Linked DNA regions of Pelodiscus sinensis. The protein of the gene in region 3 interacts with the protein of the main gene of each other region in a pairwise test. Links are inferred from orthologs where the notes say so. Each region holds a gene or a part of one and is shown on either strand. Other genes may lie near its edges. The genes, in order: MTF1, endosome-associated-trafficking regulator 1-like, AP1M1 and AP1B1.

Region 1 (7,685 bases), on a different chromosome or scaffold from region 3:
CAGCAGACCCGTCACAGGGGTATAATCCCCTTCCCCTCTTCTCCCCTTCCCTTCCCTTTACCAGCTGTGAGCGCCCATAGGGCTCACAGCAGCTCCAACTGTCCAGAGCACTTCCGGGTTCCAGTTGGTGCTAGACTATCAGGAGTGCCGGACCACTGGATGCCGGACAATTGGAGTTTTACTGTACAATGGTAATAGTACCATAACTAGGGTTATGTCAAGCTTCTGTTTTAAATCAGTGTGGCTGATGAAGGTTTAATATTTTAGAAGTTTTAAATCACATTGGGATGGAATTTCACACTTAATTGGGATGCAGAATTTTTCCTAAACCAAACTTGGTACAGCCACAGGAACAGGGAAGTCTGAACATGGGGCAGGAGCATGGTAGAGGGGACCAGCGCCTCAGCTGGAAGCCCAGCACGTGGGAGGGGAGAGCATGGTGAGTAGTTCTAGCCCCAGAAGCCATGGAGCTCCAGCCACAGCCAGGGAGCTGCAACCCCAATGGCAGCCATGGAGCTCCTGCTCCACCCCGGCTGGAGTCCCAGCTACAGAGCCAAGCAGCTGCGGAGCTCCAGCTGTGTTGCTCTGGTCCCGGCAATAGTGGAGCTGACAGCAGCTAGAAAGCCCCAGGGAGCTGGGGCAGCAGTGGGGCCAGGCTGGAGCCCTAGTCCAGTGGCAGCAAGGGCAACAAGAAGAGGGACCTCCCCTGGTCCAGCAAATCCCCTCATTCAGGACCAGTTAGGTCCTGAGGGTGCTGGACAAGGGAGGTCCAAACTGTATTATCATGGTCCCTATTTGCCACAGCTGTCACCTTTTATCCTATAATTAACAGTAACTGCACTGTCATGAAGCATACTGAGTTTCTTTTCACACAGTTGCGGTTACATAATAAGGCATATGGTCTAAGTGAGAGCAGGAGAGCCTGAAACATTCTTAACTCTGGTTGACTCACTGTGTGATCCTGAGTAACTTGTGTAGGTAAGTATCTAAGTACAGAACCTACTGTGCAGTTAAACCTAATGGCTAAGATTTTCAAAACAGTGATGTTGATTTAGGCATATGCTTTCCTTCAATGTGCAGCTAAATACCAACTTGGAAAAAAAATCAACTAATATCTGTGAAGTGCTTTGAGATCACCAGATAATCAGCTCTCAAGGGCAAGTTTTACAATTATAGTTGGTCACTTACTTCTTTACGCTTGGTCTCTGGGCACTCAGATTGCAAAGTGAGAGTAGCTCCTTCGATATTTCTTGGCATGGGAGTTGAACCAGGATTTATAGTCAAATGAATCTGATCTGGAGAAATAATATGTTGAACATAACCCTGGGACATTCCTTCATGATCTTCTATTAAATGAAATCCTTCATGACCCTCTGGTAAAAAAGGCAAGTGATCTCCACATTGTCCTTCATCCTCATCATCTTCTAATGTCCCATGGTCTTGTTCAATTAGAACAGTTGTCCTGTCATAAATTGTCCCAGATGATGAAGGAATTAGACCATTTTTATCAATAAACCTCATCATTTTATCATCTTGGATCAGTTCGTCTTCGTCCCCATCATAGTAGTGAATGCTGTCTTCGGGAGTATTTTCCCCCATGGTTTAATGGAACTTAGTGCAGCATCATGAAATTAAAATGTAACAACTCACCTGTAACAGAGTAGCATAAGTGTAAGAATATCATAATATTTAGACAAGGACTTTTCACCTAAACTCTCAAGGGTGCAAACTAACACGTTTACATTTCTTCTCCCCATTAATTCACTTCCAGAAACCTTACCTTGCTTTCAGAAAAGTAGTGCAGGAAAGTTTTTATTCAGGTGACACAAGAAAATACTTTCAAAGGTGCTCCAAGTCCGCTAAAATACATATGGTATGCGACCTGAAAAAGGGGCCTACAGTTCTTTCAGATTTAGAAGAAACATCCCTCCACTGCGATTGGGGCTTTTCTAGCGAAGTTTATGAAAAGTCACCTGCAAATTACTGTATATTGCCAGAGGTTAATCAGCTGTCTTGAACTGATAAAAAACGAGCAGGAATCTCTTTGGGAGAGGACCGCCTTATTGAAGGGTGGTCAAATATTGGAATAAATTGCCAAGGGAGGTGGTGGAATCTCCCTCTCTGGAGATATTTAAGAACAGGTTAGATAGACATCTGTCAGGGATGGTGTAGACGGAGCTTGGTCCTGCCTTGAGGGCGGGGGGCTGGACTCGATGACCTCTCGAGGTCCCTTCCAGTCCTATGATTCTATGAGCTGTGCCCAGGAACGCTCACGATACCGTTCTAGGTGTGGTGTTGGTCTATAAAGTGCGACCAGACTATGGGTTGTTTTTTAAGCACGCACAGTACCTGGTGCCCCCCATTCCCCGAGCGGGGGGCTCCGCACAGCGCAGCCCGTCCCAACTCCCGAGCCAGAGACAGTCCCCCGCAGCACGTTACCCTCACAGGGCTGCTCCCGGGCGTGTCATCGAAACACGCGGAGAGCGAAGGCGCCCGGCGCCGCAGACCTCGCTCCTCAAGCGCTGGGGAGGCTGCCTCGGGCCGGCGGCGCGAGCTTCGGGCGCCCTGTCGGGGGCCGGGGAGGGGACGCACCAGGGCGGGCCGCGAGCCCCGGCAGCCGGGCAGGGAAGCGGGCGCGCGCCGGGCCCTCGCGGAGCCTGCCTGCTCCTGACAGGGCGGCGCGGGCTGAGGCCGGGCCCCGCGCTCGGCGCTGCGCACTCACGCCCCCCCCCCGCGCTGTCCGGGTCCCCCTCACGTTTGCCTCGCGCTGCAGCCCCGTGCCGGGCCCCCGGGCGGCTGGCTCACCCGAGCGGGCCGGGCTCGGCCGGCGAGCCCCGCACGCGGCCCCCCAGCTCTGGCCGCGCCCCGCTCTCACCAAGCTCCCAGGAGCGGCGGCGTCGGCAACCTCCCAGCAGCACCATGATTACCCACACGCATCACTTCCGCTTCCGGCACTCGCCGAGCGCGCTAACACCCGCCCCTTCCGGCCCCCCGGCCCTGTCCCCGAGGAGGAAGTGGCACGGGGGCGGGACCTGAGAAGAAAAGGAGAGGGAGGCTGGGGGGCGGGGCCAGTTGAGAGGGCGTGGTTCGGTTGACAGCGAGGCTTCATGGAATAAGGGGCGTGGCCCAGAGAAGAGGGCGGGGCCTCATGTAACGGGGCGTGGCCAGCTGGGGCTGGCGAGTGGGGCCTGAGTGTGAGGAATAGGGAGCAATGAGGAGGGATGGATAAGACTGGGACTTTTCAGCTTGGAAAAGAGAGGAGTAAGGGGGGGCAGTGGCTGGGGTCTGTAAAACCAGGGCCGGCCCAAGGTACGGGCGAGGCGGGGTACGGCCGGGGCACCCGATTATAGGGGGCGCCACTTGGGGCTGCCGGGCCGGGCGAGGGAGGCACCGCACATGCTCCGCGCACCAGGAGTGGGGCTACAAATGCGCTGCACGCCCGGGGTGGGGGCTACGCATGCGCCATGCTCTGGGGGCAGGGAGCACCGCACACCCGGGGGCGGGGCTGTGCATGCGTCACACTCCCAGGGGCAGTGCCATGCTCCCGGGGCGCGCGAATGGTTCGGGCCTGCACTGTATAAAACATGAGGGGTGTGAACACTTGAACTAGGAAATCAATAGGCAGCAATTTTAAACCATGCAAAAGGAAGTATTTCTTTGCACAACCCAGTCAACCTGTGGAACTCCTTGCCAGAGGAGGGTTGTGAAGGACAAAACTATAACACGGCTTCAAAAAAGGACTAGATAAATTCCTGGAGTATAGGTCCATGAATGGCTATGAGCCATAAATATAGGCGGAGAGACCATCCCTAGCCTCTGGTGGCAGAAGCTAGGAATAAATTACAGGGAATGTCTACACTGGTTAGACAGGGTATGTCTACACTGCATTCCTCTTTTGAGAGAGGAATGCAAATGCAGCTGAGCGAAATTGCAAATGAAGCGCGGATTTGAATTTCCCGTGCTTCATTTGCATAATAGCATACAGGTGCTTTTTCGAAATACCTTATTTTGAAAGAAAAAGCCCAGTCTAGATGGGGTTATTTTGAGAAAAAATCATTCTTTCAAAATAACCCTTACTCGTTAAAAAATGAGATTTAAGAGTTATTTTGAAAGAATGTTTTTTTTTTTAAATAACCCCATCTAGACTGCATTTTTTTTCAAAATTGGGTATTTTGAAAAAGCGCCCAGATGCAAGAATGCAAATGAAGCATGCGAAAATCAAATCCGCGCTTCATTTGCAATTTCGCTCAGCTGCATTTGCATTCCTTTCTCAAAAGAGGAATGCAGTGTAGACATACCCTAAGTGATCACCTATTCTGTTTGTTCCCTCTAGGGCATGAGGCACCGGGCACTGGCCACTGTTAAGAATGGCCATATTGGGTCAGACCAAAGATCTGTCTGGATCAATATCCTATCTTCTATGTGTTTATGTAAATATTATGAGCCAAATTCTGCTTTCAGCTGATCCTGTATACCCCTACAGCCGTCAGCCCAAATAATTTCAGTTAGATGGTACAAGTGTTATTTATCTACATATGCTAACCCAGAATGGTTTAAAAAAAAAAGAATAAAAAGACTTTGAACTATTTTAGCTAATTAAACGTGGCAAGACAGACAGACACTGAACTTTTAATAGTACTAGCGGTAGAAATGGTTAAGGCTGGCACAGGGTGAACATAGCATACAACCACTCTACATTCCACACATGTCTGTGAAAGTGTCAACCCTCTTTTCACTTATGAGTGTGTCTCCAGGAAACTAAGGGAGCCCAATTTTCTATAGGCTCTGTAAATTCTCTTTGTTCTCCTTAGCATTGACACACAATCTGTATCCTGTGATTGAGATGCGACTTGGCAGTATTTTATGATCTAATATTAATTTTTTACTTGGTATATCATTACACTTGGTATACCATGAGGGCATCAGGTTATTCTCAGTCATTGATTTACATAATTTCCTTTCTCCAAGACCTAAAATAGCTAAGATAAAGTCTTGCTGACCTCAGCCTACAAATTTTGTATTTCAGCTTGTCTTATTCATGTCTGAGGCCATGTCTACACTACAAGATTGGGTCTAATTTATTAAGGTTGATTTATTAGTACACAGTTTTGTAAAATCAAAGGTGCATGTCCCCACTGTGCGCAAAAATTCGATGTAGTGCCTCCCCAGTAGGGTGGCGACCGTTGACTTTGACAGCAATGCGCTGTGAATAGCTATTCCATAGTTCCTGTTGTCCCTTTGCATTCTGGGTTAAGCACCCAATGCCTGATGGGGACAGAAACAATGCCCCGCATAATTCTGGGTCCATATCATCAGCCTCTCATGGTGCACTTATCTCTTCTCCTCCCCTCCCCCGCTTGCAATGGTAAACAATCTATTTGTGCACTTTTTCCCCTGGTTATCCAAGCAAATGCCATAGCAAGGCAAACATGGATCTCTGTTCAGCTGCAAGTTGCTGTGGTAATCATTGCAAACACCTTGCACCTTATGCTGTGTTATATCCAGAATGTAGCCAGGAACACTGTGAGGAAGCCATGAACACAGACACATATGAAACTCTTGAGTGGAACCATTGGCAGATGCTGGCAACTGTTGATCCTCTTGACACAGTGGAACACCACTGGTTCTGGTCCTGTGAAACAAACACAGACTGGTAGGCCATTAAGTTGTGCAGCTATGGGATGATCAGCAGTTTATTGACTAGGTGAGATGTCAGTGAAAGCAACATTCTCCTGTTGTGACAGCCTGCTCTGTGCTCCATAATATCTGTGCAATTAAGGGGGAAAATGTTATGCTGGGAAGGGGGTAGGAGGGGGAGGGGGCAAAGCAGATCACCTAGTTGCTAATTAGGAGCACCCAGGCATTGAGGAGAACATATCAAGGGGCACTGCAAATCAGAGAGGCTTTGAAAAACAGCTTTGTGAATGATCAGACAGCAATATGACAGTCAAGTATGTTGCTCTTAAAGAGGTGCCCCCTGCATTAACTAGTCGGTAAACCCTGTAACTCCTCCTTTCCTGATACAGATACTGCGGTTGAGAAATCATTCATTTGCATTTAGGGAACACAAGGAAGAAGAGACAGAAAAGGAGTTCAGGGCAGGAGCTTTGGTGGGAGGGGGAGGAAGGGCAAATGGTGTATTACAAACACAGGCATGGAAATGACAGCCTTCTGTTCTGGGAGACATCCCTGGGAGTTAGTGGAAAGCTGTCCTTACTTCCACCCTGCATTCTAGGGCACCTGGGAGGGGACGATAGGGAATTTGGTGGAAGGGGCCAAAGCTGGCCTCAGTGCCACCCGGAGCACAGCCCTGTAGGCTGCTCGGAACACACGGCACTCTGGCAGCAATTTAAAAGGTCTGGTGCTCTGGCCGTCGCAGCTGCTGTAGTAGCAGCAGCCAGGAGCCCTGAGTTCCTTTGAATTGCCAGCCCCCAGGACAACTGCTCCCTTTTGCCCCTTCTTACCATTAGCAGGGCCTGCTTGTGAACTATAGAGACCCAACCAGTCTGGCATATGCAGTCTGGGTCTGTGCAGCTTCTAAAGCAAAAGAGCAGAGGAGAGAATTTATTGGAGGATTCACTTTAACCTCCCTTCTCTGGTGCTCTGGGAGCCATTAACCAACTTTGACCTTTAGGCTTGGCGCTATTGAACTGGGGACCTGGAGCTGAAGCTGTTTCATGGTGGTGACCAGTGTTCCCTGTATCTGTGCGCTTGGGCAGCCACTCAGGAGAGATTAAGGTGCCGCCCAGCTGATTAGCAGAGTACCCAGATCACCAACATATAGAAAAATATGGTGGTGCACATTTACACATGCCTTGGTACACATAACATTTATTCTGCACACGGATGAAAAAAATTAGAGGGAACATTGGTGGTTCATTTCTGCTAGAACTAATAATGGCATTATATATAAATCCATCTTTGTTCACAGAGCCACGGATGGGCGGAGGCAGCTCCCCCAGCAAACTTTCTTGTCAGCCTTTTCTGCATGAGAATACAGCACGTACCTCTCCAAGACCTTCTCCTCCCTTTGCACTGAAACCAGCGTGTTTAACGAGGTTCATGGTAATCCCTATGCTATACACTGTGAGCACTAACTTAGCTATTCCCATGAAGATTTCATGTATTTCATGTTGAGGGGAAACTAAGTGAAGCACAGCAACATTTGAACTCATCTGCCGCCTGCATCTTTGCTCTTGGTGAAGCAAAGATGCCTGTGAGACAAGCAGTAAAGACATTAGTAAGAAAATGTTCGTCAGTTTAAAAATCCTGGCCTTGGGTGATTGATGCTAATCACCATCACTGCCAAAAGAGAATATACTGCCCTATTACAGTCAGCTGCTGTGCACCAGATTTTTCCTTGTGCATGCCACAGCTTAGCAGGCAAGTGTAACCCCGAGAATGGAAAAAGGCAAGAATATATTTCAGTGTTGGCTTGATTGTGGAAAGCAGTGATTCTCAAACTTTAGGAACTTGAGAAACTTCATTTTGATTTACATTTTTTCAGACCCCCAAATTCCCCCAACTCAACCCCAGACTGCCCCCACTCCATTCCGTCCATTAATGAAACAAAAGGAAGTACTTCTTTATATAACATTCAGTCAACCTGTGGAACTCCTTGCCAGAGGATGTTGTGAAGACCAGGACTTTAACAGGGTTCAAAAAGAGCTAGATAAGTTCATGTA
Region 2 (7,607 bases), on a different chromosome or scaffold from region 3:
CGACTACCTGATAAATTTAGGCTTATCGGGTAGTTGACTAGTCTACTACTCACTAACATCCCTAATCTAAAGCAAGTGCAAACCATGACTGCCAAGGAGAGAAGGAATCCTTTCCTAGCAGCATGGAACAATGAGATGAATGTCCTTTTTGCAAATTTCCCAACCAAGAAACGTATTTATTAGTAATAAATGACCAGTGGTCGGGGTTCTGTTATGCTAAGTGCTCTGTACACACAGAGTGACACTTCCTGCTGCCCCACTCAAAAGTTCACAATCTAAGTAGACAAGACAGACAAAAAGTGGCCCTAATGATTGTTAAGCTTCAAAAGGCTATTTCTACAGGCCCTTGGAATTACTATGGTCAGCCAGAGAGTAGCCTCTTGTAAGCATTTGAATATCTTTAAGATACAGTGCCCGATCCTTCACTGATGTAAATAGAAAGAGCTTCATTGAAGTCAATTCTGAGCTCTACCAGCAGTGGTGCTAATCCTTAATATGCTTTCAATATCACTGTCACATCACAAATGTGCTTATTTTCCATCTGTCAATGGACTATCCAAGCAATGCTCAGAGTCCCTCAAGAACCCATGAGCCAGTGGCAACCTTAGATTGTAAAGTCTTCAGGATTGGTCCTGTGTCTTTGTAGGGTTGCCCAGTGCCTGGAAGACTAACCCTAGCCTCTAAGCACTCCCAAAATACAACTAAGAAAGGGCAATAACAATTTCTCCTGTGTGTGGCACAGAGAAGGTGCAACTTAAAATTCTCTTGAACCGTTTTAACTTAATTCTATTTTTAAGTTGCTTTTGGAGGGGAAGGTGCCAAATAAAGGAACTGACCTAGGTAAGGTGCCCATTTTTAGAAGACTATGCGCACCAATTTTACCCCCACAATGTGAATTCCGTTTCGTGCTTTAAAAAGCGATCGAGCCATGGCACTACTGGGTCTGTCAAATGTGACTCTTTCTGCATGGATGTTAGCGGGCACAGTGGTGCAGCTGAATGGCATTTGGGCCTGTGCCCCTCACGCATGCTAGGCACACAGGACAGTGCATCTCTTGGGTCACTCTTCTAGAGATGACTGACGGTTACTTGCACCCTTCTAGTCAAGCATGCATTGTGCAACAGGGGTCTGAGACAAAGCCCTTTATTCTTCCCTTTCCCCCTTCTCTGTCTTCAAAACTTTCTCTCTCTCTCTCTCTTTGCACTTCTGCTCCTTTCTCTATTTCTTTCTCTCCATCTCTTTCTCCCCATCTCATCTGTCTCTCCAGATCCTAGCCTACCTCGATGTTTCGCTTGCTCTCTCTCCCCCAGTTTTGGAAGCCATTAGCAAGTTAACATCTGCCCCAACACCTGCCACATTCCCTCTCTCAGCCATCACCTATTGCTTCTCCTCTCCGCAAAGAGTCACAGGGAACACTGGAGTATGTGTCTAGTTATTCTCAGCATGATCTTTGCATGACCCATGCAAATGGTGCCTCAATTAACATGGGTTGTGCGTGTCAGGGCGGGGCAGGGTGAGGGGAGGGAAGAGGCGTGGGAGCTGGCAAAAGCCAGAGGTGGCTAAGCTGCTTTAACCTTTTTGCATCTTTCCCTCTGACTTTGTGTGCGTCCCTCTCTAGCTGTATTTTCTTCCCCTCTCTCCCTCCCTCCCTTCAGTATGTGGGCTGATCACTGCTCAAACTTTTAATTCAGATGGTAATTGGAATAATAATACGGGCAGAGCCCTTCTGGCTCTGTTGCTGCAGCTGGCTTCAGGGAGCTATGAATAGCTCTGAGTCACACACACTGCGCTGGTTTCACTTCAAATCATTTTGTTTTGTTTTCATATCCCCCCATCTCCATCCCCAGGGCTTCAAGGAAAAGAGTTCCCCCTCACGCTACCCCAAAATACAAACCAGGCAAAGGTCTGTCAATAAAATCCCATTTTGGGCACCAGAGAATGGGATGCCTAACGAAATCAGTCAATTAATGAAGGCTTGGAGGGCAGATGGGGTTTGCTGGCATCTATTTATAATTATGGAACGAAAAGGCATACGTGCATGTGCAAAAATAGTGCACAGTTGATTGCAGCTTCCTTCCTCCGCTCACCTTCCACCTGTCATGTTTCTTCTCAGATTGTAAGATGTTTGAGGTAGGGGCTCTGTCTTCATTCGTGTTTGTACAGCATGTAGCACAATGGGACCTCCGCGTATTGTCGAGATGCATAAGAACAACATAACACAAAAATAGCCATACCAGGTCAGATCAATGATCCAGCTAGCCCAGTATTCTGTCTTCTAACAATGGCCTGTGCCGGTGCTTCAGAAGGAATGAACACAACAGGGCAATTATTGATTGAGCTCAGTCATCCCATGTCATTCAGTCTCAGCTCCTGGCATTCAGAGGCCTATAGACATCCAAAGCATCCCTGACCATCTTGGCTAATAGCTGTTGATGGACCTGTCCTCCATGAATTTATCTAATTCTTTTTTGAACCCAGTTATAGTTTTGCCCTTCACAGCAGTCCCTAGCAATGAGTTCCACAGGTTGCCTATGCAAAAAAGTATTTTCTTTTGTTTTAAATCTGCTGCCTATTCATTGTATTGGGTGTTCTTGCTTTCTTGTGTTATGTGAAGGGGTAAGAATACTTTCACTTTCTCCGTACCATTCATGATTTTACAGACCTCTAGCATATCTCCTCTTAATTGTCCCTTTTCCAAGTCGAACAGTCCCAGACTTTTTAATATCTCCATACCTGGAGGCTGTTCCATACCCTTAATTTTTTTTCCCCTCCTCTGCACCTTTTCTATTTCTAAACTATCTTTTTTGAGATTGGGCAAATCAGACTTGCCTGCATTATACAAAGTGGGAGGTGTACCATGGATTTATAAAGTGGCATTATGATATTTACAAACTTATTTTCTATCCCTTTCCTAATAGATCCGAACATTCTGTTAGCTATTTGTCTGTCACTGCACACTAAGCAGATGGTTTCAGAGAACCATCCACAATGACTCCAAGATCTCTTTTTGGAGTGGTAGCAGCTAATTTAGATCCCATCATTTTGTATGTATAACTGGGGTTATATTTTCCGGAGTTAATTTTTTTGCATATCAACATTGAATTTCATCTGCCAGTTTGTCGCCCAGTCACCAAGTTTTATGAGAGATCTTTGTAATTCTTTACCCTCTGCTTTGGATTTAATTATCTTGAGTAGTTTTGTATACTAGCACACTTTGCCACCTCTTTGTTTACTCCTTTTTCCAGTTCATTTATTAAACAAATAATTAAGATGATGGGATCTGAGTTCTATGTGCAGTTCCATAGTTCTATGCCCATTTTTCTGTGATGGTCCAAAGAACCACAGGTCTTTTCCACATGTTCAAATTCTATATCTGTATTTCACCAGCCGGGCAGCTCCAGCAATAGTAGCACTGGCAGGAGTGCTTTGTACTATAGGGTTCAGAGTAGGATTAGACAACACAGCGGTAAAAATATCTGTGCCTTTTACACGCTTGTGCTGTCACCACTGCAGTCATAGAGGGTGGTGCACCAGTGGTAAATTACGGTAAGGAAGTTTCCTTGCACAGGCATAGCTGAAGTGCATAGCAAAATGGCAACCAGGAAATCCTTGCTGGCCACAGATCTGTTACATTATTTATCACCCCCAAATGCAAGACCTAGGAGGGAGAGAATTAACTTGGGGGGCTGGAAGAGAGTATGTGAGGGGGGTTTAGGCCGTGGATGAAATCAGGACAAGACAGGGTGGCTTAGTGGTTTAAGTGTAACCCACACATGGAGTCTTTGTTTCCCTCTGGTGGATGGCACATGTGTGAGGTCAGTGGGTCAGCTAAATGTGGGGAGTCAGTCCTGTAGCTGTGGCAATCACATGGCAGCAGACCAGGCTTATAGGTCCTGAAGATCTAGGGTTCATACCCAGCGGATAGCACATATAGGGTGAGTTACAAGAGCGATGCTCAGTGTGGGGCTTGTACTCCTGTAGCCCTCAGAGGCTTAAGATGATCATCTTCAAGCAGCATAGTCTGTGACCCCTACTAGCAGAGCGGAGGTCACTGTTTTTCTCAGAGGCATCAGGTATGTAAATCACCATTATTTTTCCCTCCAGAACCATTGGGTTGAATCCTAGAGTCAGCCCTTCATCCTTTGGAGGTAATTAAACTGGGGCCAGAGGTGTTTTAGATGAGACCTTCCTGTCATAGGCGACTCGTGGTAGCACTTGCGAGGTGCTCTGCCTCCCTTGGCCCTTGTCAAAATCATAATGGGATACCTCCTAATGCCCCCTCCCTGTTCCTCTGTGTGGCCCTCCTTGTACCCCTTCCCCACAGGCACCAGTCCCTATGCTTCCTGCTTCCTCTCTCTCCATGGGCAGTAAACCCCTGGGCACTTTTTGCATGAGCAGACTTGTGCGCCTGTGCCCTCAGGCCAGTGTTTCCCAATTTTATTTGGCCACGGAACCCTTTTAAACTCGAAAGAATGTTGTGGAACCCCTAACAGTCTAATATATGGAGCTGAAAAAGTAGACCACAACTAAGTAAGGATAATAATAAACAAATGCTAAACAAGGTCATGAGATCAACATTTAGTTTAATTGCACATATTTAAAAACAAAAATCACATAATATTATTATTTTTTTTTAATCATAAAATGTTATTGTAACGGAATTTTCTCGCGGAGCCCTTATTTTCACTCACGGAATCCCGGGGTTTCGTGGAACACCATTTGGGAAACACTCTCTCAGGCATTATGCCCTCTCCTTCCCTGTGGTGCAGTGCCTCGCGCCCCAGTTGGCTGCCATCGTCCCACCTGCCCTACAAGAGATGACTGCAGTTCGATGGTTGTGTGTAGCTATAAGGCCGTTAGAAATTAAATGTGTTTTATTTTGTCTCTGGGGAACCATTTGGCTCCTTCTGCTATTTTCTTCTCCTCCTCATGTGTCACGTAGCTGATAAGTGATATTGGTAAATGATCATATTATCATATAGCCGATAATGCCCATTTTGACACAGTGCATGTTTTTATTAAAATCAGCTCCAAATGCTTCCCCTCGCCTCAATCCTCTCCTCCCATGAACGTCCCTCCTCATCTTTGTGGCCTTATTCCTTTGCCATGATCATCCTCATCTCATGCCTTACAACCAGTCCTGCTGGCCTAAATCCCCATGTTGTGTAGTCTTCAGTGACCTTATCTTCCTGCCATGAGATCCTTCTGCCCTGATCCCTGGGCTGACCTTTGGTTCTGCCCATTAGACATGATCCCCTTTACCTTAAGGCTCCTCCTCTGAATCCTTCCCCAACCTTATTCCCACTGCCCAGATCCCAGATGGCTTTGCTGTTCTTGTCCTGAGCCTGCGTCAGTTCCTGGGTTCTAACACACACGCGCGCACACAGTCAAGTCTGTTAATGAACAACCCCATGGCATCGAGTCCCAGGGTACGGAACGGGGCTATCACAGGTGACCCGGCTTTTCATATTCTTGACAGTTATTTGTATAGTTTAGCCTCATTGGCTGAAATGCTGTGAACGTTGGTCTGGCTGTTTCTCTTTCCCCTGGCTGCGAAGTCACAACATGAAATGCACTTGTCTGATGACATCACAGACCTAGGTGACTTCTGCTCCCTCCATTATTAAAGCCACAGGCACATGCACACATGGCGATGATTTAAGTACAGATACTTCTGTAACCCACTGCTGCACTTCGAATGGTGCTGAGGCTAAGACAGCTGCTCCAGAGGATGGCACAAAAGTGGGCAGCACAGGCAGTCCTGTCAGAGAAGGGCTCTACCCAGTGCTTGAGCTAATTTGCAGACTGCTATTTCATTTGGAGGCCCACAGCCCCTCAAAAATGCCACGACCCCTTCTCTCAGGGACATTGGAGAGGGCCTGTCCACAGTCCCAAAGCCTAGATAACGAGGAGGAGGAGGAACCCATATGCTGTTACCCCCATCTCCCTCCACCTCCTCCAGCCCATACTAAGAGCCCCATCAGTTCAGGGGACCATCACCTGGAAGATCCAGATGGAGCTATTCCATGTTCCTTAAAGGGATTTGTAAAAACGAAGACTCGTGGCATCGCAAAGGAGGAAGAGTTGAAAAATAGAATGTTTGCAAAGAAACTGGCCAGACACAACCTAGGCCTCGAAGATGATTCCTTATCTCCAGAAGCATTGGGCTTGAGCTTGGAATTTCAGGAGCCATTTTACAAAGACCTACCAATGGCTGGTACCTTATCAGAGGATGAGGATGATGACTGGAGTGGGAGTTATCACCACCCTGCTGCTGAAAGAGTCCACAAGTCCAGGTTTGCCTCCATGGGACCATGTAGTCCACATGATTCTTTATATCACACCACAGCCCAAGAGTTTGAAATTGAGACATTTGCTCCCTGCTGCCATCCTAGCAACTTGTATGTTTCCTGCACAGCTCATGACAAGGCGCCTGAGAATTGTGCTCTTCGGGAAGATTCCATAGGAGACAGGGAGTATCCATCTCTGCAGCTGAGCTACGAAGAGCTCAGAGAGGAGAATTCCATGCTCAGAAGGAAGATCAAAAGTATCCAGAGCTTCTCAGAAAATCAGACACGCTTGGTGAGAAACCTTGAGAGAAGACTGAGAGCCAGCGTGGTCAAAGAGGAGAAAGAGGCTCAGGGTTTAGAATCCATTGTCCAGCAGGCAGAACGGAATCTGCAGTTGATGACCCAGAGGGCCATGAAGGCAGAAAATAAGATTGCAAAGCTGAAGCAGGAAATGTCCCTTCTCCAGGTGGAGTTGGAGAGTTCCAAGACAGAGAATGACACTCTGCGCACAGGCCAATCTGCCAGCCTGGGGGCAGTGAAACAAAATGTAGATGTTGCCTTGCAGAATCTCTGCCGGGTTATAGCCAATGCGCACTTGTCAATCAAACAGCTGGTCTCGGGAGCGGAAATGCTGCATTTTGTGGCTGACCTCCTCAAATCCATAGACAAGATTTCTGAAATCAAAAAGGAAGATGATGAATGAAAAAGCACTTAGGCACATCCACCTGTGAGTGTCTGGCCTGAGATCAAACTGTTCCCAGACAGCGGTCAGGACTGAAAATGTTTGCTGTCATATGCTGAAACATTGCATGTCTTCAAATAGGTGGCCTTTATCCCTTCCAGAAGTACTTTTATTGTAATTAAATATGAATTCCATGTGCTAATGAGGTGTTGGCCGCGGGTGCTCACATGCTGGGAGAATTAATTCTTTGTCCTGCCCTTGTCGGAGGTTTTGTGTCAAGATATTTTGCTGGCTTTGGGCTATAGTAAACCTGAGCCCACATTGGGACAGGGGTTGCACTGGGGCTCTGTACCAGCAGGAGGCCCTGCAGATGTCCTGGCTGACTCAACCAGAGCTCTTTCATGGGAGCTGGGACAGAGTACACCAGAAGGGGTTGTTACTCTTTACCAGACAGAAGTTTACACTCCTACCTGGCTGGGCCTCAGTTCTCCATGTATCTCACCTGATCCTCCTCCCGTTCCCATGCCCCATTGGTGGCTTGGGGAATGCAAAGAACCAAGTTCTGGGCACTTTTGCACTGGGTTACAACAAAGGGAAAGCTCTTTATATCCTCTCAGCACTTGAACTCAGGGTCA
Region 3 (7,672 bases):
AGTCTTGTTTAAAGAACTTTGATTCCCTTCACTCCAAAATACAAAGGTTGTTAGTTTCTTTTCTCAACTCTATGCTGCCACAAAACTGCAATATAGGCTCCCTAGTCCAGCTCAGCAAGTCATGTATTAATGAAATACATCCTAAAAATCTGCTTCCTCAACAATGCTCACAAAGCTCACAATATTTGAATCTAGCTTTCATGTTGTATCATTTTCTGTGCCTGTTTATTATAAGATTGTCAGTATCCTTGTCCTGTACAGCACAAAATAAACATCAGAAACGAACACTGAAAGATCTTTATATAACCACCTATAATCCAAATATGCCATTTCTGCACAGCACTACATAATTAAAAGATTTCCATATCTACATAAAACATATGTTTAGTTATATGAACAAATATCACTTCCATACTCACCTGAACCACCTTGTAAAGAAATGAAAACACCAGAGAGACACAAGCATTCTTCTTAGAAGTAGCAACAACTGAAAAAGTATGTTCAGGAATTGGAGTTTAAAGTTACACTTTTTAAAAAATGCTTATAATTAAATACATTTTCAAAACGCATTTACTATATTATTACAGCTGGCCCAAATATTAAGGAAGCAGCAATGACATTCCTCTTTCCAGAGTCATTTGATATTGAAAATTCTGGGGTTTATGTTATTTTTGATGGTTTAACTCCTGGGGGCAGAGGACTAAAAATTCAGGAAATACTTATATTAAATTGGCACTTTAACACTTTTATACACGTTACTGGAATAAGGTATGTCATGAAAAAACTCCTATTTATATATTTTTTGCATCTTTGTAAATCTTGATCAATAAAATTCTTAGCAGTAAGCCTGTTATCCTATTACTTCCATTCAAGTACAAATTCTGAAAATCCACCATGTTCATCAGTTTCACCATACTAACAGTTTGACACTTTAAAGGATACGATATAAATTGTTGTGTTTAATCCACATAAAACGTACTCCTCCATGAGCTAGAATGGGAGAAAGTGTTCCCTCCTCCTCTTTTTCCATAAGAATTGGCATGAAGTGCTCCACCTCAGACATATCCACATCTCCACGGTAATTCCGGCAGATGAGGACCTGCAATAGACATGCAACAGAAATCTGAATAGGTTTTAAAAACAAATGCTGAAGTTATCATCTGACACATGGGAAGTACTTTTAGGCAGTGGAACCCCAAAATTCTTCACTAACTGAATGACAAACTGTACATTGAAATCTTTCATTCGCAACTTAAGCATAGCTTTTAGAATCCATTCAGCAGCTATTAAATAGCATGTATCAATTAGGGATGGAACATCATGTTTAATTAGTTAACCAGTTAAACATTAAGTTAACAAGTAAATGATTAAATGGGGGCACACAGTCTAACTCACACTCCACAATCCCACAAGGGCTGGGAGCCAACAGTCCCCCTTTCAGCCCCACAGAGTTGGAATAGCCAGCGGACCTCTTCCAGGTAATGGTTAACCATTACCCAGTAGAGTATCACCCATTAAGGCTACGCCTAGACTACACCTCTCTGTTGACAGAGAGATGTAGATTACGCACATCGAAACTGCTAATGAAGCAGGGATTTAAATATCACACGCGCTTGATTAGTATAAATATGGCCACCGCTCCCGCCCCCCCCCCCTCGAAATTGCCGTTTTTTCAAAAAAGCTCCGTCTAGATGAGGGTCTGTCGAAAATAAACCCTTTTTCAACAGATCCTGTATTCCTCAAAAAATGAGGTTTACAGGATCTGTCGAAAACGGGTTTATTTTCAACAGATCCACGTCTAGACTGCCTTTTTTTGGAAAAAGCTCAGTTTTAAAAAAAAAAAAGCAGCAGCCATATTTATGCTAATGAAGCACGGGAGATTTAAATGCCTGCTTCATTAGCAATTTTGACATGCGTAATCTACATCTCTCTGTCGACAGAGAGGTGTAGTCTAGACGTAGCCTAAGTGTGATGCTTACCTGGTAACCAGTTACCCGTTCACATCCCTAATATCAATGTTGGGAACAGAATATACTTAGATGATAGAACAAAACCTCAGAATGTACTTAAATATGCAGAATCTCATAGACTTTAAGGTCAGAAGGGACCATTATGATCATCTAGTCTGACCCCCTGCACAGTGCAGGCCACAGAATCTCACCCACACCTCTTAGAATAATCCTTTCACCTATGTCTCAGATATTGAAGCCTTCAAATACTTTGAAGACCCCAAGATGCAGAGAATCCTCCAGCTCTGATCTGTGCTCCATGCTACACAGGAAGGCGAAAAACCTCCAGGGTCTCTGACAATCTACCCTGGAGGAAATTACCCCAAATCTAATTACCCCAAAATGGAATACGATGAAATATGGAAAGTTAGCTAAAGTGTCTCTGTAGCTTCAGTTTCCACAAGCAGTGGTGATCTCCATTTCACTTACCCCAAAATCAAACCCACTTCACTTGCATGAGTTTTTATTCACGAAGGAAGAGGATAAAAGGCCCCAGAAGGGAGAGCGGGAGGAGGAAGGGAGCCAGCTACCAAAACCAGCACTTCCTGCACCACTGCAGCTGATCAGCAGCACAAAGTCTAGCCCAAAGCTTCCGGCTGAAGCAAGGCAGCATTCTCGGCAGGCTCCCGGCACGCCTGAGGCCCCAGGGCAGGCTGGAGGAACCGGGGTCCCCACCCCAGGCGGGGGAGGGGGACGCACCGAGCGAGGTGGGGAGGGAGCATGGGGGTGTCAGAGCCTGAGCCCTCCCGCCGGGCCCCTAGGGATGCGGAGGGGCCCGAGCCCAGCGCGGGAACCCCAGGCCAGGCCGCCCCGGCTCCGCACCTTGCCCTTCAGGTCCAGCACGTACACGGCGCTGGCGGACATCGCGCCCCGGCTGCTCGGCGCCGCTGCGGCCCCGCTCCTGGCCGGAAACGCGGCCGCTCCGGCTGCCGCTCTCCACCGGCTAGGCCAGCTGCAGGGGCGGAAGAGGCCTCTGGCAGGGCGGAGGGACACCAGCGAAGGGGGCGGGGCCTTCCCGCGGAAACACGCCCTGCGGCGGAAGCGACTGAGGGAGCGGATGCACCCCCGCCCTTCTGGCCCGCGCTCTCTATGGTCCCCGTCGCCGGGGGGACGCAAAGCGGCGCGCTAGCCTGAGCGGCCCATAGAGAGCTGGAGGAACAGGCTGGCGCCTGGCTTCTTCCCAGGAGGGACATGGCCCTGCAGACCTGGGCCTGGTTCCTAGGCCTGTGGGAGTCTTAGAGGCTAGGGGCAGAAGCAGGTTTTTCTGCCCCTTCCCCCCATCCTCTTGTGGCATGCACTGACCTCACCCCTGTGCAGAATATGCAGTTGCATAAGACACCCCAAAAATGGGGTCACCCCATGGCCCTTCATGTCCACCCACCTGCCTCTTCTTCTCCCCGTCCTGGGGCTCTGCTTCCTCCAGAGAGCATCTAATTAACACGGAAAAAGCCGGCCAGACCTATTATTAGCTTTCATTAGTGTTACTGAAGATTAGAAAATGACCTCTCTAAAAAATCATACACCCAGCTGCCATCGGGTATAGGAGCCTCACTTTAATGGTAGTGTGAAGGATCCCATAAATCTTAAGGGTGGCCCCAATAAAGCCTCCACACACACACACACACACACACACACACACACACACACACACACACACACACACACATCTCTGCCCCCACACACACATCTCTGCTTTTGGTCACTTCTGCTCCTTATTTGGCCTTTTGGATGCCACTAACTGTCCCCCTTTGAAAAAAATAAACAAACGGTCTAATAGCATCTTAAAGACTAACAAAACATGTAGATGGTATCATGAGCTTTCAAGGGCACAACCCACTTCTTCCAATGACAGGAGTATTGGAAGTCCAGATACAAGAATAAATAAAGGAAGAAGGGAGAGAAGGAAAAAAATGAGAGGGAAGAAAAAAAGAGACAGTGAGTAGATAAGCTTCAGAGGAATAGCGGAGTTAAGTCTGTAACAGGAAAAACTAAAAAAACAACAAATAGTGTAATAGCACCTTAAAAGACTAAATAGTTACAAGAGGCTGATAAGACCCATTAGTTTGTACAGTACTTGGAAAGGAAGATGACTAACACCAGATTCTACAGACATAAAAAACCATCATCACCTTCATTGGTTGAACTTAAAAACAACAAATAGTCTTAGTCTATAAAGTGCTAACAAAACATGTAGATGGTATCATGAGCTTGCATAGGCACAGCCCACTTCTTCAGATGACTGTGGTACCTCTGTGTCTTCGTACCTCAGTACCTTCAGTGGTCTGGACTGTCAGTGTCAGGGTCGTCTGGTCAGGGTCGTCCTGGCGCGCTCCTGACAGGACCTCTTCTGCGTTGGTGATGATAAACTTTCGGCTGCGTGCGTAACAATTGGTACTCCCTTTATCTAGAGCGTTAGACCCCGTGCACTTGGGTCAACACAGATCTCTGAGAGGCCCAGGGAACGACAGATGCAGGCAAGGTTTAAAATCAATCGAGCAGGTTTATTTGTCAAATGCAAAGCTCTACGGCTACGTCTAGACTGGCACGATTTTCCGCAAATGCTTTTAACGGAAAAGTTTTTCTGTTAAAAGCATTTGCAGAAAAGAGCGTGTAGATTGGCACGGACGCTTTTGCGCAAAAGCACTTTTTGCAGAAAAGCGTCCGTGCCAATCTAGACGCGGTTTTGCGCAAGAAAGCCCCGATCGCCATTTTCGCCATCAGGGTTTTTTTGCGCAAAACACTTTTTAGCTGTCTACACTGGCCCTCTTGTGCAAATACATTTTTCCCTAACGGGAGAAGCATAGTATTCGCGCAAGAACACTGACAATCTTACATTAGATCGTCAGTGTTCTTGCACAAATTCAAGCAGCCAGTGTAGACAGCTGGCAAGTTTTTCCACAAAAGCAGCTGCTTTTGCGGAAAAAATTGCCAGTCTAGATGCAGCCTACCAGTTGGTAACAGAGATCAGTACAATGTTACACCACTGGGCACTATGGCCCTCGTTGACAAGGTACCAACACCAGGCAGGCCTATTGCCATATATCAGATATTAACCGCAGTTATTCAAAGTTAAGCTACTGTGCACTCTGTAAGTTTAGGCAATGACACCTGCTGTTCAGGTGCCTAGTGCGCCCCCTCCCCCCAAGTTCAGCCGGAGAGCACCCTCTGCGGTGTCCTTTTATAGACAGGTATAAACAACTTACATCATTTCTTTACGTACTGGTTACCACTCTGTTGCCTAGATACCACCCCTCACCTTACGGAAGGGGGGCTTACTTACTATCCTTCATGCTGTCAATTCTGACCTGGTCCTGAACCTAGGTCGATATGTGCATTAGTTTTTAGGGAGTTTTTGTACCAGGACATTCCTTAAGATGTTCCGTTACTCCCTTTTGGTTTACAGTCTGTTCTTGGTGCAGCCCTGTGACCTAACTTACACAATTACACAGTTATCAGTATCTAAGTTACTGAACTAAAGTCTTGCTCACTAGATTGCAGGCCTGTTGCTGTTTTCATGTTACAGACCTTAGGCCTGCTGACTCCATGTTACTGCCCCTCAACTTACTACAATGACCATCTGAAGAAGTGGGCTGTGCCCCTGAAAGCTCATGATACCGTCTACATGTTTTGTTAGTCTCTAAAGTGCTAAGACCATTTGTTGTTTTTTAAGTTTATCCTGTACAGACTAACTTGGCTATCCCCTGAAGCTTCTTCATTGGTTGGTTAGTTAAGTCATTAAGATGCGGAAGATAATGTTCAAGCCATCTGACATCCCTGGATCATACTCTTGGCATAAGAATTAAACTTGTAAATGAAGTTAAGTTCCAACCCTTCTCTGTGTATTTGGCTTGTGGAACTGATTTGAAACAAAATGGCAACTTGGAGATCCATTAATGAGTGTCCAGGAAGATTAAAGTGTTCTCCAACAAGTTTCTGTGTATTGCCTTTTTGGATATCTGATTTGTGTCTATTAATTCTTTTCCATAGAGACTGTCCAGTTTGGCCAATAAATATTGCAATGGAGCATTTCTGTCCCCCTTTGGTCTGGACTGTATCCATTAGTGTCAACCTGCTAACAAATGAAACCTGTACCAAAGGAGCAGGTAAAACAAACTGTCAGGAACAGTATAGAGGCAGGTATTTGATCCTGCCACAAGTGCAGGGGACTTGACTGGACTCAATGACCTCTCAAGGTTGCTTCCAATTCTAGTATTTGATAGCCAATTAGATGTGAGGTAGCAGGAAATGTGATAGCTCTTGGTTTTACAAAGGCCTCTGGCAGGCCCCACATAACATTGTCATAAGCAAGCCAGGAAAACACAGGCTAAATGGAAATAGTATACGGAGTGTTTATGAGAGAGAGAAAAAAACACACTCAAAGCACAATTATCAAAGGTTTGCTGTCAAAGTGGAAGAATATACCTAGCGGGGTCCTTACAGGAGCCAGTCCTGCATCCAGTACTATTCAATATTTTCATCAATGACTTGGAGAATGGAGTGGAGAGTAGGAGTATAAAATTTGCAAATGGCATCATGCTGCTGGAGCTGCAGTTCCTGTCAGCAACTTAGGCAACATCTACACTGCCGGTTATGCCAGCAGTGAGTATGCAAATGAGCACATTCCAGTGTCTCATTTGCAGAATTTATGCAAGGCGTTTTTGCACAAAGGGTTTTTGTGAGGGAAAAAAAAGTAGTATGGACATTTTCTTTTCGCACAAAAACCCATTTTCCCGCCAGATAAGTAAACCTCATTTTTTTGGGGCATAAGGATATGGTGGGAAAAGGTGTTTTTGTGCAAAAAGAATACATCCACACTACTTTTTTTCCCCACAAAAACCCTTTGTGCAAAAACACCTTGAATAAATTATGCAAATGAGGTGCAACAATATACTAATTCATGCCTCATTTGCATACTCACTGCCAGCAAAAATGGCAGTGTAGACATAGCCTTAAAGAGTTTGGGGCTCCAGCCACTGCCACGGAAGCAGTGGTAGTGGCTTTAAGTCCTAGGCCCTTTTAAATTGAAGGGCACTGGGGCAGCTTCCCCCTTTGCCCTCCCCTGTTGGCAGCCCTGTGCAGTAATGGTGAGGCCTCAGCTGGAGTATTGTGTCCAATTGTGTCCTCCAATTTAGGAAAGATGTGGACAAACAAGAGGACGTTCAGAGGATAACAACACAAATGATAAAAGATTTAGGAATACAAACCTATGAGGAAAGGTTAAAATAATATGACCATATTTTATCTTGAAAAAACTGAGAGGGGACCGGACAACACACTTCAAATTTGTTAAGGGCTGTCCAAATTTAAGGATCATGATTAGTTGCTCTGTGTCCACTAAATGTAGGATAAGGAGCAATGGACTTAATCTGCAGTAATAAAGATTTAGATTAGCTATTAATTAAATCTAACCATGTAGTTAAATTCTGGGACAGGCTTCCAAGGGAGGTTAAGCATTCCCTCCATTGCAAGTTTTTGAAAACAGTGAGGCCAAATATCTATCAGGTATAGGCTAAGTTTACTTGCCTGCCACAGCACAGGAGACTGAAGTTGTGGACTACGAAATGTAGGACTGGAAGGGACCTCTATGATTCTATTTATTAACTCCCAAGATTAATGTTAACAATTAAACTATTGCTCCCAATATTGTCATAATTAATTATTGT
Region 4 (7,293 bases), on a different chromosome or scaffold from region 3:
TATTGCCTCTCCAGGATACAGCACAGCACAGATGGAATCTGGTCACAGAGCTGGGCTAGGATGCCTCAGGCCCCCTTGAGATGGGGGAGACTGGACCCCTAAACTCCAGTCCCTTTCCCTAGGCTGTCTCCTCCATGCTCCCAGACACCAACTAAACTCACTCTCCTCCAGCCCTGCCCCCCCAGCCAGGGCAGCCTTCACCTTCCTTTGTTCCTCTCCATGGGGGGTATCTGGTTCAACCAGTTTGGCATCACCTTTGCATAGTGAGGTTTTCCCTGCTGGGTCTTGCTCCAGACAGCAGGGGTCACCACAGCCCAGCAAGTACCCCCACTACGTCACAGAAGGGGGCCACACGTGCGCATTATAAGGAAACAGACGGATACCAAACTTTAAAGCAACTCATTTTAGTGGAACTCTGTTCTCCTCTCCAGAACACCTGGACAAGGCTGTAAGCAGCCAAGCCTCAACCCTGACAACATGGCTGTGACCCGAGACTTGGTCCCGGCTACTTGAGCAGGCTAGAATGTGAAGCCAGGAATTCTGGGAGTCAAGTTGAATGATGGAAAGAAGCCAGTGACCCTGAGATTCCAGGGCTCCTTCTACCCCAGAGGCAAATGAGAAGCCCTGCCCCAACTCCAGTGCCCGGTTACAGTTTCTTTAACAATCGACTGCCATCCCAAGCTGCGAGAGCTCCTGCTGAGCCTGCGCCGTGGTGGCCCTGACAGCAGCAGGGAACTCGGTGCTCTGTGACTCTAGGCTGCAGAGGTTTGTGTTGCTCACAAACCAGAAACCACAAGTCAGGTGGGAGCCACAAACCACAAGCTCAGGTTTCACTCTAGGAACTCTGCTGAATAACAGCCTGGCTGTTTGGGGCAGAGGGTTAACAGAGCTTACGGTGGACGATGTTGAGCTTTTAATGACGACAGTGCTGACTTTCCAGAGAGAGAGGAGAGGCAGAGAGAAGTGAGCATCTGAGGACAAGCAAGATGGTCTGAAGTCACAAACATGGCGATTAGACCGCTTGGAAAGCCGCTTCTAGCACACTAGTGAGAACAAGTGGAACACTCACAGTGGAATGCTGACTCTGCCCCTGACCTGCAGCAAGTCACAGTAAAGCTCGGTGCCTCAGTTTCCCTTGCAATCCTTCGATTTATCTGCATAGACCATAAGCTTTCTGGGGAAGGGACTGTAGTACTTACTGTGTGTGGGCAGCATCTAGCACACCGGGACTCCAATACAAACAGTAGGGTCTCCTAGGCCTCACCGACCTCCAGGCATTCAGAGACAAGGTAAAGGGCAGGCACCACAGCGCAGTGGTCTCTAAAGCACCACTGAACCCATCAGCCAGAGGAGGCAAGCCCAGCCAGCCCTCAGATCAAGGAACAGCTGCCCTAGACCGTGCTGCTATGCACGCCTCTGGGTGGCAGCGAAATCAAGTTACATCTGACCCGCATCCGACGAGCTGTCGGAATCCTAGAAGGTGAGCAGGGGAGGAGCCCAGCCACAGCAGAACGTACTAGGGATGTAAGCAACTAGTCGACTACCTGATAAGCATGCAGAGACTCAACTAGTCGCTTCCACCACCCTTGCTGCCTGGGGGGCAGGGGAGGCAGAGGCGTAGCATGGGGACCAGGAATCAGCTGTCCCGGCTCTCGCCTGGTTCCCCTTGCTGCAGCTCTGCCTTTTAAATGCATCCGGCACTTAATATACATCTAAAAGGCAGAGCTGTAGAGGGGTCCCACTGCAGCTCTGCAGTTTCCCCCTTCATCAACTAATCGAGTAGTTCATGGAAATTCCATCAACTACTGTAGTTGAGTAACTGCAATTTAACATCCCTAGAACATACACCTCTAGCAGGCAGTTCCACTAGCTGAGCCGGAGTGTGCCAGTTTTCTGCCATCACCAACTCTTCAGTAGCGTTAGCTGCCACAGAACATACACACAGGGCACTTCCTCTCCCAAACCAGCGCTTTGCCGACTGGCAACTTTGCAGCCCATGCCTCTGCTGCTGGAGTAAGGCAGGTAGCGAGTGCCATGTTCCAGTGGCATGCAGAGCCCACCACAGCAGCTGTGAGAAAGCAGCCTATAAGCCACATTTATACCCCAAGAAGCCCAGCTGAGGTCAACGGATTTCTACACGGGACAAGTCTAGCCCTCTCCAACATGAGCATGGAGTCTCGCGTGCCCAGACACCAGTTTTTCCACTGACACAGTCCTTCCCGTAACGATCAAGCTCCCCAAATCCACCAGCTGCTCTGCCCTCAGCTCTGGGAAGCTGTTGAGAAGGGGGTGGCCTGAGTCCTCAGAAAAGCACAAGTGGGAATGGGGAAAGAAGCCCCCAAACCCTGCAGAGAGCAGGGCTCACAGCTGGGGATATAACCAGTTAACCAGTAAGCATCGCCCTCACTGGGGGATACTTACCGGCTATGGATAACAGGCAGGGGCAGGAGCAAGCAGGGAATTGCTCAAGCCCGGTGGGGCCGTGGCCAGGAGGTGGGGCAGCCCCCCTCCTCAGCAAGCTTGGGCAGGGGCACTGGATAGTGTTTAACCCATGGGATTTTACATCCCTAGTCGCAGCAGTAGCCTCCGGCCCCGCCGCCGGGAGACACCTGCAGGGGGAGGCGGGGCAGCCTGCGCTGCAGCAAAGCCGGAGAGGCCGCGCAGGAGCGCACGGCTCGCCCGCAGATGTGACCGCAGGAGGCGGATCGATGCGGCCCTGCCCGGACGGGGAGTCGCCGCCTGTCGCCCAGGCAGCCCCGACCCACCGGCCCCGCAGCCCCCGCAGCGCGGCGCCGGGAGCGGGAAAGCGAAGGAGCCGCAGCCGCTCGGGCGAGCCCCCGGGGGCAGCACTGGCCCGAGGACGGCTCGGCTCGGCGCGTGCGGCCGGGATCGGGGCCCCCCCACCTACCGCTCGCGGCTCCCTGCGCTGCCTGCGCCTCCAGCGGCCCCGCGGAAGTGAGCGCCCGGGCGGGGAGCACTTCCGGGGCAGGGGCGGGGTGTCACGTGGGGTAGGAGCGCGCGGGCAGGCAGGTGAGGAGGGGCGGGGCGTCACGTGGGGCAGGAGCGCGCGCGGGCGGGCAGGTGAGGAGGGGCGGGGCGTCACGTGGGGCAGGAGCGCGCGCGGGCGGGCAAGTGAGGAGGGGCGGGGGCTGAACGGTCGGGCCTCTCTCCCAGCCGAGAGGGGGCGGGGCGCTGCGCTGCGCGTGGCTGGGGGCGGCGCGTTCTCTGCCCCGGCCGTTGGGCGCGCGGGCCCGGCCGCGGCTGCTCGTCACGTGCAGGGCCCCGCGCGGGATCCGGCTGCCCCCCCCCGCCCGGGCCCTTGCTTGCGGGAGAAGCGCCCCCCCCCCGGACCCCCCCCCCCCGAGCGGCGCCGGCAGGTCAGCGCCCCCCCCCCCCCGAGCGGCGCCGGCAGGTCAGCGCCCCCCCCCCCCGAACGGCGCCGGCAGGTCAGCGCCCCCCCCAGGGCCCCCCCCGAGCGGCGCCGGCAGGTCAGCGCCCCCCCCAGGGCCCCCCCCGAGCGGCGCCGGCAGGTCAGCGCCCCCCCCCCGGGCCCCCCCCGAGCGGCGCCGGCAGGTCAGCGCCCCCCCCAGGGCCCCCCCCGAACGGCGCCGGCAGGTCAGCGCCCCCCCCCCCGGCCCCCCCCGAGCGGCGCCGGCAGGTCAGCGCCCCCCCCAGGGCCCCCCCCGAGCGGCGCCGGCAGGTCAGCGCCCCCCCCGAGCGGCGCCGGCAGGTCAGCGCCCCCCCCAGGGCCCCCCCCGAGCGGCGCCGGCAGGTCAGCGCCCCCCCCGGCCCCCCCCGAGCGGCGCCGGCAGGTCAACGCCCCCCCCAGGGCCCCCCCCCGAGCGGCGCCGGCAGGTCAGCGCCCCCCCCCAGGGCCCCCCCGAGCGGTGCCGGCAGGTCAGCGCCCCCCCCCCAGGGCCCCCCCCGAGCGGCGCCGGCAGGTCAGCGCCCCCCCCCCGGGCCCCCCCCGAGCGGCGCCGGCAGGTCAGCGCCCCCCCCAGGGCCCCCCCCCGAGCGGCGCCGGCAGGTCAGCGCCCCCCCCGAGCGGCGCCGGCAGGTCAGCGCCCCCCCCAGGGCCCCCCCCCGAGCGGCGCCGGCAGGTCAGCGCCCCCCCCAGGGCCCCCCCCGAGCGGCGCCGGCAGGTCAGCGCCCCCCCCGGCGCCCCCCCCGAGCGGCGCCGGCAGGTCAGCGCCCCCCCCAGGGCCCCCCCCGAGCGGCGCCGGCAGGTCAGCGCCCCCCCCGGCCCCCCCCCCGAGCGGCGCCGGCAGGTCAGCGCGCCCCCCCCCCCGGCCCCCCCCCGAGCGGCGCCGGCAGGTCAGCGCCCCCCCCGGCCCCCCCGAGCGGCGCCGGCAGGTCAGCGCCCCCCCCGGCCCCCCCCGAGCGGCGCCGGCAGGTCAGCGCCCCCCCCCCCCCCGAGCGGCGCCGGCAGGTCAGCGCCCCCCCCCCCGGCCCTCTCCCCGAGCGGCGCCGGCAGGTCAGCGCCCCCCCCCGAGCGGCGCCGGCAGGTCAGCGCGCCCCCCCCGCCCCCCCCGAGCGGCGCCGGCAGGTCAGCGCCCCCCCCCCCCGCCCCCCCCCGAGCGGCGCCGGCAGGTCAGCGCCCCCCCGGCCCCCCCGAGCGGCGCCGGCAGGTCAGCGCCCCCCCCGAGCGGCGCCGGCAGGTCAGCGCCCCCCCCCCCCCGGCCCTCCCTCCGAGCGGCGCCGGCAGGTCAGCGCCCCCCCCGCCCCCCCCCCGAGCGGCGCCGGCAGGTCAGCGCCCCCCCCAGCCCCCCCCGAGCGGCGCCGGCAGGTCAGCGCCCCCCCAGCCCGCCCCCCCTTGTCCCCCCTTGCTCCTCTCGCCCCAGGAGCCCACCGAGCCCTTCTGACCGGTGTCCGTACTGTCCCACAGGCGTGTCGGGGAGGCTCCTGTGTGGATTTGCGCAGTCCCTAGGCAGTTCCCTTCCCCCCCCCCGGGCCCAGGGCTTCACGCCGTGCGGTGCCTGACCCGATGCCTGCGGAGACCCCCGAGGAGAGCTTGAAGCGCCTCGGCGCAGGTCATCGAACGGACTCCCGCAGGGTCTGCAAGACCTTCCAACCAAGGACTAAACGAGAGCGACGCCAGACTCAGGTTACTTCAGCGCTTTAACCCGCGGCACCGCAGCCAGCGTCTGAGGAGCGCCCGGGCCGGCATGGGGCATGGGTCCATGTCGAGGCACTCTGTGCGTTGGGGCGACACACGGTCCCCAGCACCGAGCGCTCAAAGAAGGCACGAAGAGGGAGATCACCTTCGAGACGGGTCGGGGCTGCGTCTGCGAGGGGGACGCCCCGAGGCTCCATTGCCGCTCCCGCGCACCATCGGTACAGGTCGAGTCCCGCGCAGGCGAGTAGCCCTGAGGGGTCCCACAGCCGTCAACCCCGGATTTGTTTCTGGCGGCCCGGGAATAGATTGAACTTACATCTTCCCTGGGCCCGACGCTGTGTGGTGCGGAGGGGCCAGGAGCGACAGGGACAGGATGGTGCCACTTCCTCCTCTACCGGTGTGGAAGTCTGGTCCGGCACCGTCTGTAGTGATGGCACAGAGGAACCGGGGCTGGTACAGAGTGCAGCCCTCCCGGCACCGATGCTTTCAGCACCGGAGCGTGTGACTGCCCCCTTCGGCACCGGCGCACTGAGGGAAACCGGCGGCCATGCCACACCACTGCCAGCACTGGGAGCAGGCAGCTTCTGCAGCACTGCCGTGGTCCACATCCGAGTGCTCCTCAGTCGCACATGGAGTTGATGACATCTAGGGCATCTTCAGACGGCTCCTCAAAGTGACGCTGGTCAAGGTCTCCGCACCGGTCCCAGCACTGATCCTGCTCGCAGTGCCACTCAAGGAAGGCCAGTCTGTCTCCATCACAGACTCGGCCCCCACAGTGACAGCTGCCTGCCCAATGGCCTTTTTGGATCCTCTGGCCATATCATCAGACCCAGGGGCACGGACCCTCGGGGTTGGCCTTGGGGCTTAGGGCTGCACCTTCGGCCACCCCACTCATGCGGGTTCCACTGTCGGAGTCCAGGGCCAGTCCTTCGGGGTCAGCAGGGAACCCCTCTGCCCCTTCCCCCTGCCCTCCTCAGCCCCCTTGAAGTGCCCCATGCTCAGCCCTTTCTCCAGCCCCTCCTCCCCTGCCTCCTGCTCAGACCCCTCATGTCTGTTTTTCATAAGAACTAGGTAGTTCTTTGCATCCATGCAGCCAAAGGTGCTGCCTCCCTTTTGGGTATATCAAGATTCTCTCCCCTTCCCCCTCCCTTCGCCCCAAGGCCGGCGAAGAGCAGAGCTGGCTTCTAGGCATTGCAGGGGCCAAAAGGAGCCAAGCTCTTGTTATGCTTAAACTTTCAATCCCAACACTCTTTCACGTGACCCTTTTCTTTGTTCTTCTGCAGGGCCCCCTCTGGGACCGGGGCAGGGATGTGCAAAGGAAGGGGCTGCTGCCCTGCCGTCGCTGACTTCACTGCCGTTTGGAAAACTGCACCCCTAGGGATGCTGCTGGAAAGCCCTTTGTGAGGGTAAGAGTCCTTGTCCTCCCCCTGGCCAGAAGGGTACGATCTGGTGGATAGACCGGGCAGCACTCCTTCAGGCAGCCCCACGTGCCGCAGGGTCAGGCGCCTCTATGCCGCACTGTTGGACGCTTAGCCTGGAAAATGCAGCGGTGGAAGAGCTGGGACCCCCTTGAGTCCCAATTTATTTAACATCAGAGCAGCCAGACGGGGTCAGACCAAAGGTCCATCAAGCCCAGGGTCCTGTCTGCCCACAGTGGCCAATGCCAGGGGCCCCAGAGGGAGCGGCCTGGCCGGGCCCCTGGACAACCATTGCCATTCCTTGTGGTGGTGAAGCCATTTCACAGGCATTGCCCGCCCCAAGGTCAGTTTCAGAAGGTGCTGGTGTAGTTACAGGACTCACTAGGGATTGAGAATAAGACAGAAAATACCTTATTGCCTCTATGTAAACCCATAGGCCTCCCACAGCTTGAATACGGCGTGCAGATGTGGTCGCCTCATCTCCAAAAGATCTCTTGGCATTGGAAAAGGTTCAGACAAGGGCAACAGAATGATGAGGGGTTTGGAACAGGTCTCATATGAAGAGAGAGAAACAAGACGGGGACTTTTTAGCTTGGAAAAGAGGAGACTACATGGACTATGATGGGGGGGTCTATAAACTCATGACTGGTGTGGAGAAAGTGAATAAGGAAAGGTTCTGGACTTGTTCCCATCATATAAGAATGAGGGGTCACCCAATGAAATGGATAGGCAGCAGGTTTCAAACAAACCAAAGGAAGG

The links.
Region 1: the proteins of AP1M1 (region 3) and MTF1 interact in binary tests that used the Homo sapiens proteins (3 or more experiments, as listed by UniProt). The two-hybrid records come from large-scale screens. The link is inferred for Pelodiscus sinensis from reciprocal best matches to the Homo sapiens genes AP1M1 and MTF1.
Region 2: the proteins of AP1M1 (region 3) and endosome-associated-trafficking regulator 1-like interact in binary tests that used the Homo sapiens proteins (3 or more experiments, as listed by UniProt). The two-hybrid records come from large-scale screens. The link is inferred for Pelodiscus sinensis from reciprocal best matches to the Homo sapiens genes AP1M1 and ENTR1.
Region 4: the proteins of AP1M1 (region 3) and AP1B1 interact in a two-hybrid assay, tested with the Homo sapiens proteins (2 studies listed by BioGRID, with this or other methods). The link is inferred for Pelodiscus sinensis from reciprocal best matches to the Homo sapiens genes AP1M1 and AP1B1.

Annotation. Positions count from the first base shown.
Region 1 is NC_134735.1:10,618,873-10,626,557, forward strand, and holds the start of MTF1 (metal regulatory transcription factor 1), read right to left. Parts: upstream 3,003-7,685; 5' UTR 2,876-3,002; exon of another isoform or gene 2,806-2,875; intron 2,736-2,805; exon of another isoform or gene 1,781-2,735; intron 1,651-1,780; 5' UTR 1,600-1,650; coding exon 1,189-1,599; intron 1-1,188. UniProt on the Homo sapiens protein: Zinc-dependent transcriptional regulator of cellular adaption to conditions of exposure to heavy metals. Binds to metal responsive elements (MRE) in promoters and activates the transcription of metallothionein genes like metallothionein-2/MT2A.
Region 2 is NC_134711.1:91,806,120-91,813,726, forward strand, and holds endosome-associated-trafficking regulator 1-like, read left to right. Parts: upstream 1-4,593; 5' UTR 4,594-5,841; coding exon 5,842-6,993; 3' UTR 6,994-7,172; downstream 7,173-7,607. UniProt on the Homo sapiens protein: Endosome-associated protein that plays a role in membrane receptor sorting, cytokinesis and ciliogenesis. Involved in the endosome-to-plasma membrane trafficking and recycling of SNX27-retromer-dependent cargo proteins, such as GLUT1.
Region 3 is NC_134729.1:31,353,849-31,361,520, forward strand, and holds the start of AP1M1 (AP-1 complex subunit mu-1), read right to left. Parts: upstream 3,018-7,672; 5' UTR 2,874-3,017; coding exon 2,832-2,873; intron 2,462-2,831; exon of another isoform or gene 2,439-2,461; intron 1,100-2,438; coding exon 943-1,099; intron 488-942; coding exon 420-487; intron 1-419. UniProt on the Homo sapiens protein: Subunit of clathrin-associated adaptor protein complex 1 that plays a role in protein sorting in the trans-Golgi network (TGN) and endosomes.
Region 4 is NC_134725.1:5,452,881-5,460,173, reverse strand, and holds the start of AP1B1 (AP-1 complex subunit beta-1), read right to left. Parts: upstream 3,005-7,293; 5' UTR 2,909-3,004; intron 1-2,908. UniProt on the Homo sapiens protein: Subunit of clathrin-associated adaptor protein complex 1 that plays a role in protein sorting in the late-Golgi/trans-Golgi network (TGN) and/or endosomes.